6 separate regions of the Mus musculus genome follow, and regions 1, 2, 3, 4 and 6 are each reported to be linked to region 5. The links are microRNA targets in miRTarBase. Many come from high-throughput screens and were not tested one by one. Region 5 holds a microRNA gene; each other region holds the end of a gene's coding sequence.

Region 1 (3,583 bases), not on the chromosome of region 5:
TTGATCAAAACAGAACCCTAACTTGTGAATGGTTTGGTTTTCTCTCTCCCTGTAGATTTACTTTGAGATAGCTTCAATTTTGGTTTCCTAAATAAAAGGACTTAGAAAACGTTCAGTGGCCATTGAAAAATGAATAAAACTGGCTTGCTATCCATGAAGCCACAACAGAAAGCCACTGCTCTCTTACTCTTCTGGTTTTCCATAAGTAACCTTGTCTAGGACTTTTCAGTCACCCTCTAAGGGAAAAAAAGAATAGATGTTCTACCTAAAAAGCATCATATGATTAGGAAAACCAGCATGTGGTACAAGCCCAGACTCAGGATGACCCTATGTGCATGGTCAATGGAGCAGATCTGAATTAGCATCAGGCTCTGGGGAAGAGGTGTTACTCACTGTCACTAACGACCACACCGTGGCGCTCAGAGACAATCGTTTCTCCTATGTTCTTATGGGATGCTACAGTTCCTTTATTGTTTCAATTTGAAACAAGGTCTTGCTATCTATCTAGTTCTTAGGCCCCAACGTATCTTCCTGCCTCATACTCCCCAGTCGTATTACAGGTAAGCAACCAGACTCAGCAAACGTTTTAAAAGAGTAAACTAGTTTGGGCAAAGTAGGGTTTTTGCAGTTATGTGGGGTCTTTTTGTTTTGTTTTTTTCTCAAAGTCTGCAAGTCTTTCGAGTTAATAGTCACTGTCCTCTGCAAGGTGCAGAGCAGAACACAATGTATTTCAAAATTATTTTGTGGGATTTCTTTGTTTTAGGAAATACTATTTTGGAAACAGATGGACTCCGTTTCCAAGACATACCACATCTATAACTTAATAGTTATTCTCCGCACGATCCAAGAGGATAGGCTGCTCTAAACTCAGTACCTACCATACCCATAGGATTGACTGAAATGTAGGAACTGTAAATTTGCAAAGAATTCTTTCCTTCTCTGTTTCCAAGAGCAACAAATCCCTATGCTGTGACTGAATTCCTGCCTCTGCTTTTCGAGATGAGTCACTGAATTCTCTCTGAAAACCAACTTACTCTATCATCTAGATTCATTAAATAATTATGTCTTAAAATGTTAAAAGAAACAAAATGACCTTCAGTTCTCCTGAAATTCAGCAGGTAACTGTCAACCTGGGTATTCATAATACTGGAATGAATTAAGACAATAGTAAATAACTTTTAGCTCTTGAATAGCATCATAATCATTCATATAAAGTAATTTTGGTTTAAATTCACTAGACTAAAAGCATTCTGCCTCCTTCCTGCCTTCATCACTGTTGTGGATGCTGTTATTAGAGGTAAAGAATCTATTCAGTTCCTTACTTCAAGGCCTTCCATGCCATGATTAGGCAAACATCATAAGGTGATCTCTCCCCCACCCCACAAACAAGGATACAGACACATTTGGAGAAGTCAGAACTATGCCACATTCATAAAACACATTAGATAACCCAGGCAGGACTAAGTATTGGTATTAAAATAACTACTAAAATTACCATCTATTGCCACAAGATGGCAATCTTTCAAAGATTAAACTTAAGGTACCTTAAATTATACACTCTCCTTCTCAATCAGTGGGCAAAGATTCTTTTATTTTACCATTGAGAAGTTGGAGTGATAAATATTGACCATCTTTTTAAAAGAACTACAAAGTTATCTGATGTGATATGATGCAAATTCCTGATTCAAAAAGCTATTTAAAGACAGACAAACTTGTCTTCTGGAATCTCATGAGAAACCTGGTCTAACAGTCTCATTTGCTTCTTGGTAAATAGAAAATATACAATTTTTGGTGAAGAGAAACCTGTCAAGGCAATGTTGCTTTTTTTTTTTTTCAAGAGCTTAATATTTTCTAGGGTGAATCAGATCAATGATTTTTAAAATTACAACATAAATACAATAGATGAATAAATAATTATTAGATAAATTACACATAATTTAAAATACTTTTACCAAAACAACATATAATCAATTAACTTAATCTATCTTGCAATATAGTGCTTTTTTGTCTTAAATTAAAAAAAAAACTTGCACAAAAATGTTTGGTTTTTTTTTGATTAAAAGCACTGATGTGTCAATACATATGTATATATATGTAAACAACACATATACGTATTCCAGGAGAATATACTTTTAAATATTTAAGGCTTCCCTGTCCAATCAGGTTCAACAGTGAAGGTCACAGAGATCAAGCTTTGGAAGTATACAAAGACATGATGGCCAAAGCAAGGTTTTTAGCTAAAGGATTAATGAAAGGGAAAAGCATTGAGCAAGACAGAGGCTCCTGAGGAAGACGGAGGGAGGAGGTGGCATCGATAACAAATGTTAAGGGAATTAGCAAACATGCCAGAGGGCCATGACTGCCGGCCCTCCTCCCAGCTACCCCAGTCTGATAAACACAAACAAGATCATAGAGTAGAATTTTCTTTTAAGAGACTGTTGTTGGTATTTTGCTTGTCTCATTGAACTGTGTACTAATTTTGCATGGTTTTGTTTTGCTTGGTGGTGGTGTGATTTAACTAGGCGCCTTGCACAACTGTCAGGAAGCTGGGAGATTAGGCTCCTGTTATCAGAAACACAGTCTTAATGGCTAATACTAGGCAGTATTTGCAGAAATAATTTAAAAGACTTTGGTTTCTAATATTTAGGGGGACAGGATTTTCAGATTTCTACATTGAAATAATATTTCCCTAACAGTTATTCTATATCTTAATCTTCTTGTGCAAGAGTGCCCAGGCAGCCTAACAGCTGCTGAAGTTTAGGAGGTAAACCGGATTTACGTACAGGAAACATGAAGGAAGGAGGCCCATTGAACCACCCCTACCTCAGCGGGTTCGTTCATCAGTGAGGTGTGCTTGCCATCTACAGCGAATTCACAGGTGTAAGTTAGCAAGCGCCACCACACTCACCCAGTACTACCCATGCAAACTTGTCACAGGCACAGGAGAGTTACAGAGTTCTACGAGTAAACAGAATGCTGGATTTCTGTGTTTTCGGTGATTTCAATAACACTGCATGTCACCTGGGAATGTTCACACCAACTTCTATTGCAGAGCACGTAATACCGAGTGAGATAATAATTTAAAGAGTGTATGTGATTTCACAGGGGGGTGACAGAAAGACAGAGACCAGGGGTGGATAATCAACGAGCTAAAGCAGTGATAAGACTGGCGCACATTTCAAAAAAATCCATGGTGTGACTGCCCAGGCGCGGGGATGCCGAGGACAAAGTGCTGCCAGTCAAAGAGCCAGTGAGAGAGCCAGAAAGGGAGTGGTTCTCAGCTGTGCTGGAATCAAAACTTGACCGTGCTCTGTGGAGGCCCGCAGCAGAACAGGAGCGCTGGGGTGTTGAAGAACCAGACCTCTGCTCCACCACCTCATCTGAAACGACCAAAGAACAGTAAACATAGCAACAGCCGAGTGCTTGCCCGAGTCCTCCCGGGGAAGATGCTGCAGAAGGCGAAGTAAAACCGATCTGAGCAAGGAGCTTAGGAAGGACTGTGATGCTTGTGTTTAGAAGATGCAGCATTTATAAGGAAATGAAAGGGAATATGCATACATCTGAAAAGTCATTACATCCTCGG
Region 2 (3,583 bases), not on the chromosome of region 5:
TTAGCTTTTAATTTTGGTTTTGACATTCATTTAATTTCTTCATGGTAAATATATACTTCTATAGTCATTTACTCAAAATGAACATTTTTCACACTTTGTAGGCCTTTGGGGGGATTTTTTTTTTTTTACCCACAGATAAGTCTTTGCTCCACATTTTTAAACATAAAAAGCAACATGTTTCTGAACTTTTGCATTTGTCTTTTAAAATTACTCTCAAAATGGTGAAAAACACTGTCATATATTTCATTTTTACTTCTTAACAATAACTTGGTCATTTTATTCCCAAGTTCACTATATGTGCATACTAACGTTTCTTCAACCTACTATGAAGCAAACTAGTAGAGCATGCTCCGTGTCTGCCAGCTCTGCCAGCAGAAGAGTATTAATAGCGAATAACCCTCGCCCTTCTCCAGCTGATCCGTCTAATGTGACTAGCAGCTCGCTTTGCCTTCTCACATGCTCACTAGCCATCATGCTCACCCTTCTTTTCCAGATCCACTTCCTCATGATACTGTCTTCTAACTGGGCTTACTTAAAGGATGCAAGCAAAATGCAGGCTTACCAGGATATCAAAGCAAAGGAAGAGCAGGAACTGCAAGATATCCAGTCTCGCTCAAAAGAACAACTCAATTCTTACACTTAAAAGTGTTTGCCAGAGCGTGTCAGCCAATGAATTCACAGCTCTGACACATCATCAGACAGCTGCTCTGCAGTACAGATGTGTATCCCACCAAACTAATGTAGACGTACCAACATTTCACTGTCTGTCTCAAACTGCTGGGGTGGATCTCTAGGAAAACCTTCCAGTGGGTAAATCAGTTTCTTTAGAACAAATATTGGAGGTTTCACTTTAGCCATTTTAAAAGGCAACACTTTTGACAGAATGACCGTTCATCCTTTGCAAAGTCGTGGCATGTCCAGTTAACTGCTAGAGCAGTTTTAACACGGGATAGAATCACATCACGTTCCTTACTGGGGACCTATGGCATGCCAGAATCAAAGGATATGACCCTAGATTTACATATGCCACCTGTCTTCAAGTGTTATCAAAATAGAATCAGTGTCAAGTTCATTTTTGATAACTGACCTTTATTAACCTTTGGCTCATCAAAGATAATGTGATTCTTCCAAACTTAAAACTCAGCACCCTCACGGTCTCACACATTCGAATGTTTCCCAAGCCACTGAGAAACCTATCTTCTAGTAATAGGAAAATGAGCTGCAAGTGTGCTAAATGTATCAGTGCAGAAGCTGGATTCTGACCCGAGCTCTGCAAAATGAGCTTCCCAGTTGATCACATCGGAACAAAATGGGACTGAGGATTTGGTGATCACTATTGTTTGGAAATAAATGTCAGCTCTGCCTTAATATTTGCTTTCAATTTCTAATCATTTATATTGTAACCAGAAACCCAAAATTCCTACATAGATTATTTTGTTCCATGAATATCTTTCTTAAGAAGTGTTACCTTGTTAAAGTGACTACCATTCTAAACCATTTTTAAGTGGTCTGGACAGTGAGTTTACAGTTTCATATCAACTATCTAAAACCTAACTGCAAATTGACCACAGACCTCTGACCTTCTACTTTTATAGACTTTAATACATAAGTAATTTAAATTAGGGTTGGTATTTATTTCACTGTTTTCCTATCTAAATCTTAATTTCCTGGAATAATAATGTTTGATATTCAGCAAGAAAACTGCTTGAGTTTAAGCCATTTTCAAAAGAAACTTGCCTTCTAACTCATTGTGTTCCAGAACATTAAGTGACTAATAGGTACTGGGTATTAGTGATGGTAAGTTTTGTGTTCTTCTTTCTGGAATGATCCATATAACTGTGGGGTGCATCAGTGCTTTTCAAAGGGGCTGCATACTATAGGGTTAACTATGTATATTCATGTTAAGAGTTAACTTGTGGTTTGGCTGTTTCCTGGATTTTAAAACATATACATGTGCAGAGATGTATTCAAATGAAAGGAAGCATATCTTTATCAAGATGCTAGTAAAACTGAACATCAACTATAATATTTCATTTGGATTTTTTTTCTTTTGGATAATGCCGAGAAACGCCTAATTGGATTCCTTTTAATTGGGAGACGCTCTCTTCTGTGTAGAACAGTTGTTCCAAGATAGCTTAGTGTTTTGTTTTCCTGTTGCATGACAGAATTATTGTTTCCAGCAGTGGAGGTGCTGTTAAGAGTCCAGTGTTCTAGAAGAGGCGGTGTCTAAAGCCTAATTTTACTTTTCTAATTCTGGTAGCTATTGCCAGGAACTTTTGAAAGTTTTGTTGAAGTAGTCTAATATTTTTTATGTAAAGAGCATTAAATTTTGCTATGTATAAATTTTTGTAACCTAACAGTGAATCAATATTTTCTATCAGTGCCAAGGGCTTCCTGTAGTTCTATTCAAGTGTTACAATAAATATTTGTAGATAATAGTCAATACTTGTGTATGCTTATTTTAAAGATCTATTTAGGTGGAAATAGTTGTGGATGTACTAAAGAATAATGAAATAAAATTATAGCTTCATTCGCTTGCCTTTTTACCATACATAAATCCTATCTTTCTCTGTTCGCGGTATGGTGTCATTTTTTTTAAATAATATACATCATCAAGATTTTACATAGGTAGAGACATATAGTCCATGGAAGACTGCTACTGGTTTCATTTTGCACGTGCACACAAACACAAGCAAAATGTTTTTAGCAAGAGCAAATTGAGAAAATACTGTAGCCCACTGAGCTGTACTTTGTATAAAATGCTACTAGCACTTGAGTGTGAAACGCACAGAATTTTCCCAACTAGTTTCTCCAATAAAAAGCCATCTACCTACAGGATTGACACATACATAGTTTAATCTTGGGCAAAGGAAAAAATGGGGAACTTGAATAAGGGTCTATAAACTGTTGACTTATAAGCCAAAGTCTAGGGGGAAAGGTATATTTGGGGATATAATGAAAGCTAAGTCTAAGTTGATTCTTTAAGCAGCAGCACTAAATTTGTGTGGGGATTTCCTTGTCTAACTTGAAAGAACCCTGTCAGGGTGCCTATGCATTTGCTCTCCATGTGAGGCCGTGCCTTTAGCATTCTGGGCACAGCACCTCTAAATGAGGACTTGCCTCTGGATCATTCCCCTTCACTCACGCACTGCAGGGAAATGAGCAGGAGCTCCAATGTAATGAAGCTTGTCTCACTTAACACCGTCTGCTCAGGCTGCACTGTGTCACTGGATAAGCCTCCTGAATAAATACTAGAGTGCTTTAACACAACCACAAGTAACCTTGACAGTAATTCTACCATCAAACATAGGAACCTCTGGGGGACACAGGTTTTTCCAATTACCTCTGGTTTAAACACACACACACACACACACACACACACACACTTTAAAGGATGAAATGAGCCAGGTGGTGGCACACACCTTTAGTCCCACCACTTGAGCAGCAGAGACAGGCAGATCTCTATAAGTTTGAAGCCAATCTGACCTACAAAGTGAGTTTCAGGACAGCCATGACTGCTAGACCAAGAAACCCTGTCTTGGAGGGTTAAAAAAAAAAAAGAAGTCAGAGTTATAAGTTACCT
Region 3 (3,583 bases), not on the chromosome of region 5:
AAATGCCCTTACGAAGCAGTTTCCAGGCCTAGGTAGGAACTCTCAGCAGACAACAGGCCAGAGTCATGCTTCTGCACCTAGCACAAACACTTAACACTTAGCAAAAGTGTGATCGTAAGACCACACAAAACTAACAGGACCTGGTCCTTCAGGAGGAGGCAAGAGAACACAGTGAAAGGCGGTTCCTAATTACCCCATCACTCTCCTATGTCATTCTCAATATCATTGGAAAAGAAAACATAAACATTCAACATTATAAGGATCTTGCACAAAGCAAATGACAGTAGGTTTTATTAACATATCTTACAACGTCAATTATTCCTAGTTTTGTAATTTCTGCTTAATTATAAAGGTTGATTTCACTTCTACAGTAATGTACTGTATTTAAATGATCATTCATACAAGATCACACCAGTACATGTTTTTGAATAATATACACACATCACTCTAACTTGGACCTGTTATTTTAAAAGTGGGTTTATAAATGGGACTTATAAAAGTTAGGGGAATGGAGGTTCTAATTTAGCAGCATGCATGTATTTATTCAAGTACAATTTCAACCAAGTGCTTTTTTTAAAATTTACTGGTGACTAATTCACCAATATCAAAATAAACACTATCAAATATCCAAATTTTAAAGTTAAGGCTAATATTTTCACTTCACATCCATATGCACAACCATAAACATTCCATTTAAATATGTAGTGATCAAAGTCTGAATACATTATACCATGTATATATAGCATCAGAGTTCCAAACTGTAAAATTACTCAAGTTCATGAATCCTGTAACAGTATTTACTAGAGATGTAATTAGCATTTTGCTCTTCAACCACACTTACAAATGGTCTGCTATTTATAATGACCGAAGCAAAAAAGGTAGCAGGCTGAGCTTGTAGCGCAGCACTTTAGAGAGCAGGTGTAGAAGGGCAGGGATTTACCTGAAGAAGTCATTCTACTCTTAACAAAGTTATCTCACCATTTTGGAAATGTATATAAAAATAGCAAGCTATTCCGGCATATTTTCTTAAAATGCTCCAGGCAATCTTCTGGCATTCTGAACACATCTGTGTGTGTACTACTCTGTTCCCCGTATTTTAATGCAAAGCCACTGTTTTATGTTAATTTCATAGTCTGTAACGCCATCATCAATTCAAAAAATTTTGGAACATGGGTTTGATGTTACTTTGATATTTTCTCATTCAATGTTTTGTTGTTTAGTTTTACAAGTAAAAAAATGTAATTTTATATAGCAAGCCATGGAAATCCAAAGTACCAGGAATTGCTTGATAGTACTATATATGAAATAATCATCAAATTATTCAATCACCTGGAAAAAAAAGTCTTGGTACCAATAAAATATGTTTTTCTGTCATCTTCTTTCCCTCTTACTAAGTGGATTTTTGCTCACTCATTCCCATTCTGAATTAACCCCCCACCCACCCACCAATAAGCTGATCCTCACTGCAATGTCTGAAAGCAGAAGCACGGCTCACTCCCAGGGTCAGTACCTCTGGGCCTTTTCTGCTGTAGGAAGCACACAGAAACATCAGTGACACTGCAGGAGCCCAGCAGACAGGAGCTTCTTCAGTCACTGAGGAGAGTCCCAGAACTTAACGCCCATGTGTTGGGCAGATGAGCATTTCAATCTGATCACATAAATAAAGGCTTGGTTGGTAAGGAAAGGTGGGCATGCACAGAATCAAAACTCTGCCATGTATATGTTCTTAACCCTTTTGAGTTTATTGTAACATATGCTCGTCACTAACAACTCTTATTTTCATTTAGTTGAAATGGCAAATTGATTTTGTGTATGTGCGGTGCTTAAGATGAAACTGGGGTTCTGTAAATGTTAGCCAGGTAAGCTTTCTACCACTGAGCTCCACCCTCAGCCCACACACACTTATTTCTAAGGACCTCCCCAACCACACACACGCCTTGCCCTCCCTCTGTGCGCTGCACTGCACTGCACTGTATCTTACAGCTAGTTCAACTATTTACCCGCGGAAAGCATTTATGAAATTCCTGAGAATGAATTAAGTTTTCAGCAAAGCCTTAAACTTTAACAGATTCCTCACAATAAGAAAAAAATGTAAAGTTCTACTATTAGACCAATTTTTTACTATACAATATTTCACATAAATCATGTTTTACATTTGTTTCTAATTACATACAGCGAAAATCTCAAATCAACACAAGGGTGACAAAGGAAAAGATGCATTATGTTTAGCAGATGCAAATGAGAACACAAAAGGAGCAGGGAAACCTCAAATAAACCACATCCTCTCTGTCGGGGAACAACCAACAGGGCGTTATAGGGACAATCATTTCTCAATGATTTCTGTGGACAGTTGTGCTTTTATTATTGTGCACTTAAAAAGTGACCACTAAAGAATGATTTAAATTATTTGTTGTCCGGATACTTGAGAAAAAATATTATACCATTACTGTGGTTACCAAGCACCTAATTTTGGGAAGGCTGCATAATGTATGTTTTCTTTTTATCCCTCAGCAAAGACATCAATCCCCCCAAATTAAATTAAAGCTTATTGTTGATGAAAATCAATCTCAGTGAAAATGATAATATATGCAATGCTGAGGTGTGTGTCACAGCCCATTGTAGTGCGGACCCCATCTTTTATTGATGTGGTCAAACGTGTGGGAAACCCACTGCTGCTCGAGAACTCTGTACCGCTCCTCACAGATGTAGAGAGGCTTGCCTCGCCTGCAACACAAGAATAGCACAAAGCATTAATCATGAGAGCCAAACAGGCTTACCCATGCATTCCTTCTTCAACACACTATGGCAAAGATAACAGTATAATTTCATTTTATGTGTCCTGTATTTTGGATAGGAAAACTATCTCAAAGCTAGAAATAACTATTTAAATTAATGATTGTCATACTTTGTAACATTTTAAGTTGTAATTGCAAAACCAGGTGTGGCACACTGGTTTCTCCTCTCCTGCTGGAGCTTCAGGAAAACCCTTGACATGTGTTTCAAGGCAGGGCTAACCTGAGGTCCCGGTCCTCTTCTCCATGAGCATCCAAGTAGACGGAACCCCAGAGGCAAAAGCGGTGGCCTCGGATGATGATGATCACTGACGCGTTGATTAAAAGGAAAATTCCTGTTCCTGCACCACAATTCTGAGAATGCTTTAAACAAACAAACAAACAAACAAACAAGAAAAACCAATGCACTTTAAATCAAATGGCCATTGTAGAAATCATTACTAATCTAGAACTACTATTAATTTTAAAATAATATTTTCTCTCTTTAAGCCTGTATCCCCAGCTCCAACAGCTCATGAATAAATGAAGAAGCGTTGAAGCGAGCACAATGTAGAAGCATTACCAGCTCATCTAGCGCTAAGGCTGGCTGGCCCCCAGTGCATCAGTGAAGGCTGCTGCCCTGCATGTTAAAGGCGGGCAAAAGAGAGAAGAACTGGGATTGTACTTAAGAAAGGCTTTACTTTATTCTTAAACACAATCTGGGTTTTACCAAGATCTGAGTGTACTGTCTAACTCACAGACTGTGTAGAGCTCAGAGTCTCACTGTGCCACACTCCCCAGAGCCGGGCTGG
Region 4 (3,583 bases), not on the chromosome of region 5:
ATGCATGTTGGTTTCATTTCTATAGGATTTTAGCTAGGTTGATGGTGTTAGGAGAGATTCATCCTGGCACGTTGTTTTGTCCTCAGCTGGGAGACGACATTGTTCAAACACCAGTGCACCCTGTCACTCAGCAATACTCTACAGCTCACATGACTTAACGCACAGCTCTTCCACTTCTTCCGTGTGGGACCTGTTTGGGAAAATGGAGGGAAGCACTCTCAGATTCCCTCAGATGGATGTGGGTGCCAGGGGCTGTTCTGTTTATGTGAATCCAGCTTTGCCCTTAGGAATAATGTTCACCCGAGTCTGCTCTGTACCCCAGACCTGTGCTCTTCAAACCCCCATTCTTCCTGTTTGGCTGCTTTTTAGCCTCTGAGCAGAGCCAAGCCTACCATTGCTATTTGCTCTCCGGAGCCTGCAATGCTTTCTGAGCCCCGAGGATGGTTTTTTGAGCTGTTCCTGTGAAGGCAGTGAAAGCAAATCCCTCGATGCTGGAATAAACCGAGCCGCCCTGAATCAGAGGGCTTCGTTGCACCTTTTGTCTCTGGGTGTTGCTAAGAAAATGAATAGGGCAAATGCCTTGAGACTAGAAGCCAACTGAACTTGCCTGTTATTTTCTTTCTTTTGCAGGGGAGAGACCATACTACCCCAGGGACTGTGCCAGCAGGGCCCCTCCGAAAGGGGATCTAGAGACACACCTCCAGCGCCCGGCCCCGTGACAGTGTTGACTGTGGCCTCACGGGCGGCTGGAAGGCTCCAGCAGTGACCATGGCCGCTTTGGGGAAGAAGATCCAGGGCCTCCTGACCTGATACGTCAGACTCGGGGGCCATTGCGGTAGAGCAGACCCAGGGACAGCAAAGATGCTATGCCTAGAATTCCGTGTAGCTCTTTCACACACATGTATGTGCTCATCACCCATGGCCTGTGTCTCCTCGGGATAAGCAGTGGCATTGGCAGGCACAGTGGGAGCTCAAGGAGTCTGGATTACTCAAGACAGGCATGAGACACTGGAAAAAAGATACTGGTGTGTTTGGAAGAAGTGGACAGCACTGTGGGGAGGTCCAGTGCGTAGGACAGAGATGATGCTGTCAGGATGTGGGGAGCGGAGGGGGCTGCACTACCGCCTCTCCCCGCCGCCTCAGTGGGGACTTAAAGTAGAAGGTGAGACAGAGGGGTGTTCAGGTGGTGTTCGAGTGCTGTGGAGAGGAGCTTGGTGAGGCAGGGCAATGAGATAGCTCCTCACGGTTGGAGTCTGGCCTTGACCCTCTGAGCTGCTTATGCCCCGCCATGCTGCGTCCTCACCGTCCGGGCTGCGTCTGGCTCAGGAAACACTGCAGAGGTGGGAACACATATAAATCTGCTTTGGGAAAGAAACATTAGTTGAACACTAAGAGGAGCAGGTGTCTTTTTTATTCTCAGGACCTTTTTTGTAACAGGGCTACATTCTGCAAACTGCTCACGGAAGGCGACTCCATGTCTTAACAGAGTACCGCTGAGTCCTCCCAATTTGGGCCTGTTTTGGTGATGTCAGAGGAACCCTTGAGCAGATTGGGGGCCCTAGACCCTTAGGGTGCTAGTGCTCTGGAGCCTTCTCTCTCCTCCTCCCACCCCCTTTCCCCTGCACCACCCCAGCAAATAGATGTCTTTCCCCGTTGGGCCTGGTGAGCACCACCGGATGAGTGACTTTGTTCACAGATTAATGGGGGTCGCCAGGCCTGAGGGTGAAGACGGCTTTATATACCTCTTCCTTAGTCACGCAAGTTCACGTTTCTGCGGTGGGGTGAAGGCCCGAGCAGAGGCTGCGAACCCACGCGACGTGCGCAGTCGGAACTGTATTCCGCAGGTAGCAGCGATTCCTTTCCCCGTTGCTGTGACACTGTGTGTGATGGCGATACTTCTGCAAGTTCCAGATGTTTGCACATATGATTTTATGCATTATCACGAATTACCGCTGCCTTGAATGAAAACGTTCTGTGAAATTTTTTGCAAAAGCTTTACTAGTTTTTTTTTATTGTGAAATTTTGTAAAGGCAGGAAATGGATTAAGACGAGCATGCTAAATATATTTTTCAAAAAAAAAAGCAATAATTTTACATGTACAGAAATTATCCTAACCTTTAATACTGGTGAGAGCGACAGTTTACTTAACCCGGTAATGGATCAGCGCGGTTTTTGTAGGAAATGGGCTTCTGATACAAAGACTTGTTTAAACACACATGTATACACGAACCCTGGCGCGTGGTTCTCTGTTCTAATGATCTGTTGGATTGTTATTATTATTATTATATTATTATTATTATTATTGTTGTTGTTATTGTTAGTTAATGTTTGATTCCAGGTTCTATTTGTTACTGTTTTAATTACTTGACCGTTCAGGTGACTGCTGCACTTGCAAGCAATGCAATGTTAACTGGCTAGCAGATATATATATATATATACATATATATATACACACATATATACATATATATATATATATGTGTGTGTGTGTGTGTGTATATAATTTTTTTTACTTACTTTTCCTGATACTCCTACAGCAGGTTTGTATGAGAGCGGCTTGCCGTGTCGGAGCGCTTGGGAATAGCCATCATTCTGAGGCGTTACTTGGAGCAGGAGCAGGTCGTAGAGATACATTCCTCTCTCCGCCTGAGGCAGCGTAGTACCTTTCTGTTGACGGCGTTTGTTCTTTTTGCTAGGTTCCCCATCATTTCTGCGCTCTCTGGCTTTTTGTTCCCTTGGCTGAGAGTGAAGGTGAGAGTTAGGAATGTCAGAGCCTGTGATTCGGCCCATCTATTTCTGTGTTTTAGTTATTAAACAGTTCTGTACACAAAGGGACACGAAGGTGTCGTCTGTGTTTTTCCTGTGTCTGAGGCTGCACTTGGCATTGAGAACTGGAAGGTCTGTCTGTCCCATGAGTCTCCTTCCCAGGGTCTGGCGGGGAAAGACGGGTGCCTGAGGTCCGTCTGCCTGCCTGGAGAGCAGCCAGTCTCAGGATGACCTGCCCCTCCAAGCACAGAGAGGCACAATTTTCCTGTAGCCACAAGGCCATGAGGTCCCCAGCGCTCACTCCTGGGACCAGCTGTGTGCTGGCCTGCTGCATGGTCTCTCTGTCCCGCTGGCCATCAGTATTGGACTGGTTTGTTAATTTGTCTATGTCAGCTCAACAATAGTATTTAATATGATTTGTGTTTCCTTATTTATTTAGCCAATCTGTTTTGCTTTGCCCCTCCTCCTGTGGTGATTTCCACATCTCTGACTGTTACGGACCTCCTACCTACCTCTCTGCATCTTCTGTCTCCTTGTTTCCTGACGGGGTTTTTACAGTGTTGCGTCTAATGTAACTTAGACAATAAAGGGTTTGGTTGTCTACACTGCAGCCGCTCACTCTGTGTGTCCCCTGCCCTCTCCAGCTGCCCTCTTCTGACTCCTGCCTCGCTCTCTGGCTCACACCAGCCCAGCCCCCACCATCCCCTGCTTCACTGTGTGACGTGTCTTCTCTTACGCTTTTCCTCCTTTCAAGTACACATTACACAGAGTTTCTCAAATACTTCAGGTGATTCACTCATTCTTAATTCCCAGAATG
Region 5 (3,583 bases):
TGCCGCAGAAGGGACTCTACGATGCTGGCCTGCTCAAATATGGAGTACTGATGTGGTCTCTGAGGAAAGGAAAGCCAGAGATACAACATGATGTTAGCAGTGCCTGCCAGACCCTCATTTGTACCCACCCACCTACCCCCATCACGGACCACACCCAGCTGCTGCTTACCGGCTTGTCACTGAAGCCAAAGCCTAAGAAATCAAGGGCGATCACTCGATGGAACCTCAGGGTCAGCCCTTCCCAGATCTGTTAAGAAAGCAAGCATGGTGAGCACTCTGCTCCCACTGCCCAGCCCCACAGCAAACAGGCCTGCATGCCACTGTACGGAGAGCGTAACTCCAGCTTTAATTTGGCAGTGTCCCTTTCTGCAGTCAGTATTTTACTCCCCTTACAGTACATAAAAAGCAATTCTACATTTAATGAGATTTTATCAAACAGTTCAAATCTGCAAAAGAATTCTAGGGCTGACCAGAACAACAACAACAACAAAAAAAATATCTTGAGTTTTGAGTATTTTTTTTAGGACATAAGCCAGACCTAGAAACATTATTACCTTGTACCAGTCATAGCTGGATGTTGGAAAGCCATGTAAAAGCACAACTATCTCAGGGCTTCCGACCACACCGACAGAATCTAGGAGGAAAATGAGAAATGAGGCAAACTGCATGCAAGGCAGCCTTGACGACACCAAAATCTAATCCAGTCAAAAGGATCAGACTAAATGAATGACATCACCATGCTGTGTTAGAAAGCAAGCTGACAGGACTTCAGGAGCTTCCTCCTAATCTGCGCTTTTAAATCGTAATGGCATGCTTTACATGAAAACCCTTAAAACAGTTTGTTCATCATCACTTAAGAGTTGTGTAGACATCCTCATATTTTCGCTGACATTAATATAAAACTCAAATTTTTAAATAAAAAGGAAAAACAGTTAAAATACTATAATCACAGCAAGCTAAAACTTCTTTGTCCCTAATCAATATTTATCACACCTAATATCTAAGATGTGACAGTTCTTCCCAGTGGATCACCTGAGCTTATACCATTTGTCCATATACTAGCAGAATTCATGCAACTCAAAAAATCAAACTGTTACAAAGATGGGCTAATAGTGATGGGAACTTTTTCTGTATGTGACATATTTCAGATTATTCAAACAATAAAATACCTTGCCAACAGTACTGGATTGAAATTAATACTGCTAGTGGAATAAAACTTTGGTAGCATGTTTTCAGAAATTATTTAATTAAAAGCAATTAAAATATCATATACTGGATTTAACCTAAAGAACCTATGCAAATAAGATGTAACACTGAATATCAAGTCTGGGAAAGAACAACAAGCCAACATAAAAAAAAAAATGCATACTTACTCGACTGGCTATAACCCATGAGAGGGGGTCAGGAGCAATAATGAAAAACGGTTTACGAAAAACAAACATTTTTCGTTATTGCTCTTGACCCCCGCCCAAAAGAAATCTTTTCCAATCTGTTTCTCGGTTTCTTCAGCTATAAAATGAGGTTAATGGCACCTATCTCCAAATGCTGTTGTAAAAATTAAGTGAAAAATGAAATAATGAAGGTTAAAATATAACTGAATATCCTGAGTGTGGTAATTAAATAGCAGTCATCAAGTCAATCTTATCAGCTACATATAACAAATCACGGAAAATAGTGCATGAATTTGGGAATGGGGTGGGGCGTGGGGGAAACAAAGGTATAGATAGATCTCGAAATACTATATAGCTTACCTGACACTAGGGGCGCTCAAAAGAGAAAAGTAATTTCTCAAATACAAATGGGGCTGCAATTACTACCAGGCACAATTCTACCCCCACCTTCACCTCACCTTCACTGTGGAGCAACAGACCAAGGGACACAAAATAAGTAACTTCAGCTGAAACCTACACGACCCACGTCCTTGGGATTCTCCAATAGCCCAGTTCTCACCTTGGTAGAAGATGCGTAGGCCTTTGTAGGTGAAAAACTTGCCAGAAGTCTTCCATGAGTGCAGAGCAGGGGAGAGCTGAGGGGGCGGGATGTGCAGGTACGCAGCCAGCAAGGGCACAGCCAGGAGCCCTACTTGGACCCACCACTCTCTCATCCTGTGGAAAAAGCAGCCAAGGTAACATTGTACACTTCCAAAAATCAGAATGAAACATGGGTGGGAAACCTGGGCACTGTGAGGTTTGACCCCACCCCCCATCCCTCCCCTCCCCTCCCCACCCCTTCCCACTCGACCCCTCCCCTGCCCACTCCACCCCTCCCCTCCCCACTTCACCCCTCCCTTCCCCACTCCACACCTCCCCACCCAACGTGACAATGGCATAAACTTTACCAAGAAGAATGTGATAAACACCTTTACCCTTTGACATCTGGCAGTCACTGTACTAGCTCACTACCATTCTTTCCAAGCACATATGTAACTTACTGCATGGCCTTAAGCAGAGAGCTGCTCCTGGGTTCTAACACATACATATCCTCTGACCAAGTGAATCCCCATTTGGCACTACTGTCTGCATTTGGGCTATGGAACTGTTGAGGGGAGAGACCAGGAGAATTCCAGTAAGCAGCTTTGCCCTGACCCTGAATATCTAATCTCTTACAAGTCTGGGCAGCAGATTATATTTGTGCATTCTTAGCAGACTCTTGAGGTGGTTCCCTTTTATTTAATTAAGACCCCACCCCCACACCTAGCACTCAAGACTTTTGTGGGGGGGGGGGGCAGGAGGGGGGGGGAAGCACAGATTTGTGGCCCCAGCTTGCCATGCCTGGATTTCAAAGGTCCAGATCAATTTATCCTGGAGGCGAGAAATAAGGCACGATTAGAAACCATTTCCTTTGTGACCCGCCATGGTCACCAAGGAAAGGGTTCTCTAAAGAATTGGGATAGTGCCTCCTAAACTAAAGCTACAGACATTAGGAAGTGAGCTACAAATAAAACCGCTGTCTTTGTATTTGAGTGCACCCTATACATAACACATTACCTGCAATTTGATGAAACTGACTGGGTTTTTGTGTGTGTGGGGGGGGTGTTCTCTGTAAACCTGAAATGGTGGGTAAAAACCAGCACCCCTTAGGAACCTCAGCTGCCTGCCTCAACTTTAGTCAGCGCTGAGACTTTTTTTTCCTTCCTCCAAAGTCACTGTCCAATAAAGACACAAGGCTTTGGTTCTACCTTTTGAGGCTATACTAGAAATGCCTGGCACAGTGCCAGAACACGATGGTTTTTATCTCAGTCTGTTATCCACTAACGGGTTTTAAGGCTGAACCTCTTTGAAAAGCAAAAGCATTAGGTTTGGGGGAGGGGGGGGTCTTTTTGTTGTTACTGCTCATTTCCTCAGAACCCATTTGGTCCTGTTACCTGTTCATACATTTTCATGTAGCCTCTGGGGCATCCTTGCTGGACTCACTGAATCCGCAGTGACTCAGCAGAACGCCGGGGAGGGGCGCCTACTGCAGAGTGAACAGGGGCTTCCTGCTGGCGCAGGGAAACAGAGGTGCCACACCCACGCTCTCCGGACCATACCTCAGTGCACCTCCTCCATGCAGGAAAGGGGGGACAACCCCCCCCCCCAGCCAT
Region 6 (3,583 bases), not on the chromosome of region 5:
ACTCCTTCCCAAAAAAGATTTATTTATTATTATATGTAAGTACACTATAGCTGTCTTCAGACACACCAGAAGAGGGCGTCAGATCTCATTACAGATGGTTATAAGCCACCATATGGTTGCTGGGACTTGAACTCAGGACCTTCGGAAGAGCATTCATTGCTCTTAACCACTGAGCCATCTCTCCAGCCCGCATTGTAGATTTTAAAGAAAGATGACCATTCTATTGCATGCTATACTGCTGTAATCATAGTTACAGTGGATCCTTCTGTGAGCGTGAATTATTTATAGTCGTCGTCGTCGTCATCATCATCACCATCACCATCACCATCACCATCACCATCACCATCATCTGTTGTGCTAAGGCTTGAATACAGGCTCTCTTGCAAAAAAAAAAATGTACGCAAGTGTTCTACCACTAAGTCATATTCCCATCCGTTATTTTTAATTATGTTTAATTCATTTGACACTTTCTAAATATTGATTGTGGGGCTGGAGAGATGGCTCAGCTGTTAAGAGCACTGACTGCTCTTCCAGAGGTCCTGAGTTCAATTCCCAGCAGCCACAAGGTGGCTCACAACCATCTGTAATGGGATTCGATGCCCTCTTCTGGTGTGTCTGAAGACAGCTACAGTGTACTCAGCTACATTAAACAAACAAACAAACAAACAAACAAATCAACCTTTGGAAAAAAATTGATTGTGAAATGTTCTATGTAATGATGCCCTGCCTCAATGTCTCAACGCCCTGTACTGGGATTATACACATGTGTGCTACCATGCCAGGCTTTGGCTCATGGCTCTAGTAGGAAACCAACCTATTTTGATTAGAATCCGCATTTCTGATGAAGGCTTCTCTCTGTCCTTTTGATAAATGGGTCCTCAGAGGATACCACACTTTGAATCCTTAGCGAATGAGCCTGCTATCCCCTCATCTCACAGGTCTCCCTGGAGAGTCAGGATCTGCATATTCTGAGGTGTGAATTCTGCTTCCCATAAATATGGAGGAATGCAGTATTGGCCAGCCTGTAGGGTAAGCGGAAATACGACAAATGCAGATGGTTGGGAACAAATAGCTCTTGGTCTGAAAGGACCGGGTCAGAAGAGAACCACTCGAACTAGGTTCAAACCAGAGAACTCCCTCTCTGTCTCAAGAGATGGGGAAAGTTTTGTAAAAGGTGGAGCTAGAGCCCGTGGCCATTTAGATGCGAAGCTGAGTCTTACCTATGAAATGACCACGATCGTCCCATGGAAGAAGCCAGAACCACTGTCTGGAAACGAGACTAAGAGGTGGTGAATCCCGTTGGCTGAAATGTTCAAGCAAGGGCTTGGTGCTGCACAGAGGTGAGACAGATGTCTGTGCCTCTTGGACAGTCGAGCTGCAATCTGTGAAGGAGCCTCCCAGCTTTAGATGAAGTAAAACACAGAAATAGAGCTAGGACATTAACGAATAACAATCTAGAATCCACCCTGGAAGATAATCCTGAAACTCGTTCTTTATCCATATATTCTCTAGAAGCCACACTTTGTGAGAGTCACTTCTAGCTTCTACGCTCTGGAGTAGTTATACACTTTTATACACTTCGTATATAAGTGTCTTGAAAACTTTTAGTGCATACTTTTGTGAGAGTCTGTGTGTGTGTGTGTAAGAGAGAGAGAAAATGTGTGTGTATGTGTGTGTGTGTGTGTGTGTGTGTGTGTGTGAGGGAGGGAGAGAGAGAGAGAAGGGAGAGAGAGAGAGAGAGAGAGAGAGGGAGAGAGAAAGAGAGGGAGAGAGAGAGGGAGAGAAAGAAAGAGAGGGAGAGAGAGAGAGAGAGAGAGCGTTACAGCATACACCTATCTTGCTGGCTCATTTCCCCCCTGTATGTTTTCCTTGCGCTTTCTCTATCCCCTTTTTCCATTCTGACATATACTATCAGAATAAAAGAGAACATGGTTTACTTTTTCTCTAGAGTTGCGATGACTTCCTGGTAGTTGAGATAGCATGTTCTTCCTGCTTGTCTACACTCCTCTGAGCAAAACCTAGAAGGATCTGTCCCTTAAACTTTGGCGCCTACAGTAGAACACTTAGGCTAATCTTGATTTAGGATTAGTATTCTGTTGTCTCATCACCCCTAGGAGCCAGAGAGACCTATCCTTGGAAGATGAAAGGTCCCTGGGTGGCTCACCTCTGGACAGTACTGCCAAATAGCTGCAGACATCCAGATTTTGGTCCTCTGCTGCCCCCTTGTGGATAAGTTGGAAATAACAGCTCAAGCTTTCATAGTGTTGTATAAGAATTGGTGAAGGGTTTGGTGGCTAGAAAGTGAGCCAGGGGTTCCCAGAAGGAAGGGGTCAAACTGTTAATAACGCCAAGACACTTTCTTCTTTTTCACCTCTTTATTTTTTTTTAACTCCAGACGCATGGTTTTCAGTGAGACTATGACCACCTAAAAGACTCCAAGTTATTTGACCCTGAGCAGCTCCCGTAGGGTGTCATGTCAGTCCTCACACACCTCCCTCTTCCTGGAGTTGCACAGCTATAACCTACAACCTGCTCCCTCTGCATTGGTGGCTTTCACACCACTCCATCACTGACCGACCGACTCTAATGTTGCTTTCTGCAACCTGTACCACCTTCCTTCACATCTATGTGTCTGCAACCCTGACATCCCCACTGCTCACGTACTTCAGGGCAGTGGTCCTTTGTTTGGGGGGGGGCACTTGAACACAATGAGGGGAAGAGATTCTGAGTCATTTGGGCACACCCTGCTCTAACCCAGGACTGGCCTAACCACACAACCATCCTCTTACAGCTCAGCTGCTTCCTTCCCAGGTCAGCAGCCCCTACCCATCACACTGCCCAACCTGGCTCTCCATCCCCATCCCCAAAGAGCCACAGTGGTCTTGGGGCTCTTCACTCTCCTGCTGCTGAGGGAGGATGGGTTGTCTGGTCTTTCTACTACCTGTCACTTGGGTTTTCTCTTCCCAGCTGGGAGCCAGGAAACCACCCAGAGACCTGGCCTGGTTCCTTTCAGTTCATGCCTCTAGACCCTGCCGCAGCCTACGGTCCAGGGCTAGGAGCTGCCTCAAGAAGCCCCGGTTGGGGGTGATGCCTCGGTGGTCCTTGACTTTCTTGATGGCCTCCACAAGGGTGAAGTGGTGATACAGCATGAGGTAGGCCAGCACCAGGGTAGCGGATCTGCTCACTCCCACCGCACAGTGCACCAGGATCTTCCCTGGGAAGAGGAAGGCAGAAACATCTGAGAGACTGCTGGGGGGCGAAGGGGGGGGCTGCGAGAGGCTAGGGAGAGCTCAGCATGGTCCACTAGGCTGTAAGCCCGTGGCATATGGAGACAGGACTGGGTGAGGAAGAGTGGTGCCGAGAATGTAGATCCTGGGCTGGTGAGATGGGTCCCTGGGTAAAGGCATTTTCCACGCAAGCCTAACAACCTGAGTTTTATCCCTAGAAACCATGTAAAGAGACCTGACACCACAAAATTGTCCCCATGGCTTCTGCAGATACAGCATGGGACATATATGTGCACGCTCTACACACACATGCGCATTCCTATGTGCACACGCACACAAACACATACACACGCATG

What was found. Region 5 holds the annotated microRNA mmu-miR-335-3p (UUUUUCAUUAUUGCUCCUGACC, at 1,400-1,421, opposite strand). A microRNA usually pairs through its seed, bases 2 to 8, with sites in the 3' UTR of a target mRNA and lowers its output. Matches are read on the target gene's strand: a 7mer-m8 pairs with bases 2 to 8, a 7mer-A1 pairs with bases 2 to 7 and ends in A, and an 8mer does both.
Region 1: miRTarBase lists Prkaa2 as a target of mmu-miR-335-3p. Seed matches in the 3' UTR shown: 7mer-A1 at 1,830-1,836.
Region 2: the mRNA of Gpm6b is a reported target of mmu-miR-335-3p. The part of its 3' UTR that is shown has no 7-base or 8-base seed match.
Region 3: miRTarBase lists Ubr3 as a target of mmu-miR-335-3p. Seed matches in the 3' UTR shown: 7mer-m8 at 1,777-1,783.
Region 4: the mRNA of Zfp516 is a reported target of mmu-miR-335-3p. Seed matches in the 3' UTR shown: 7mer-m8 at 1,962-1,968.
Region 6: the mRNA of Dusp26 is a reported target of mmu-miR-335-3p. Seed matches in the 3' UTR shown: 7mer-A1 at 2,364-2,370.

Annotation. Positions count from the first base shown.
Region 1 is chr4:105,032,951-105,036,533 of GRCm38, forward strand. Prkaa2 (protein kinase, AMP-activated, alpha 2 catalytic subunit) reads right to left here. Exons shown (of 9, transcript NM_178143.2): 9 at 1-3,380. The coding sequence ends at 3,142. Among named protein-coding and RNA genes, the nearest start is that of Gm52670, 16 kb to the left of the region's middle.
Region 2 is chrX:166,386,459-166,390,041 of GRCm38, forward strand. It overlaps Gpm6b (glycoprotein m6b), which reads left to right. Exons shown (of 8, transcript NM_001177955.1): 8 at 494-2,575. The coding sequence ends at 643. Ofd1 (OFD1, centriole and centriolar satellite protein) reads right to left here. Exons shown (of 23, transcript NM_177429.3): 23 at 3,575-3,583. Among named protein-coding and RNA genes, the nearest start is that of Gpm6b, 44 kb to the left of the region's middle.
Region 3 is chr2:70,020,684-70,024,266 of GRCm38, reverse strand. Ubr3 (ubiquitin protein ligase E3 component n-recognin 3) reads right to left here. Exons shown (of 39, transcript NM_177783.6): 38 at 3,016-3,155; 39 at 257-2,724. The coding sequence ends at 2,607. Among named protein-coding and RNA genes, the nearest start is that of Myo3b, 17 kb to the left of the region's middle.
Region 4 is chr18:83,000,643-83,004,225 of GRCm38, forward strand. It overlaps Zfp516 (zinc finger protein 516), which reads left to right. Exons shown (of 6, transcript NM_183033.2): 6 at 631-3,583. The coding sequence ends at 690. Among named protein-coding and RNA genes, the nearest start is that of Gm41795, 8.7 kb to the right of the region's middle.
Region 5 is chr6:30,739,192-30,742,774 of GRCm38, reverse strand. Mir335 (microRNA 335) reads right to left here and starts at 1,476; the gene lies at 1,379-1,476. It overlaps Mest (mesoderm specific transcript), which reads right to left. Exons shown (of 12, transcript NM_008590.2): 2 at 1,951-2,105; 3 at 555-634; 4 at 170-247; 5 at 1-59.
Region 6 is chr8:31,095,820-31,099,402 of GRCm38, reverse strand. Dusp26 (dual specificity phosphatase 26 (putative)) reads right to left here. Exons shown (of 5, transcript NM_025869.4): 5 at 2,357-3,214. The coding sequence ends at 3,015. Among named protein-coding and RNA genes, the nearest start is that of Dusp26, 8.1 kb to the right of the region's middle.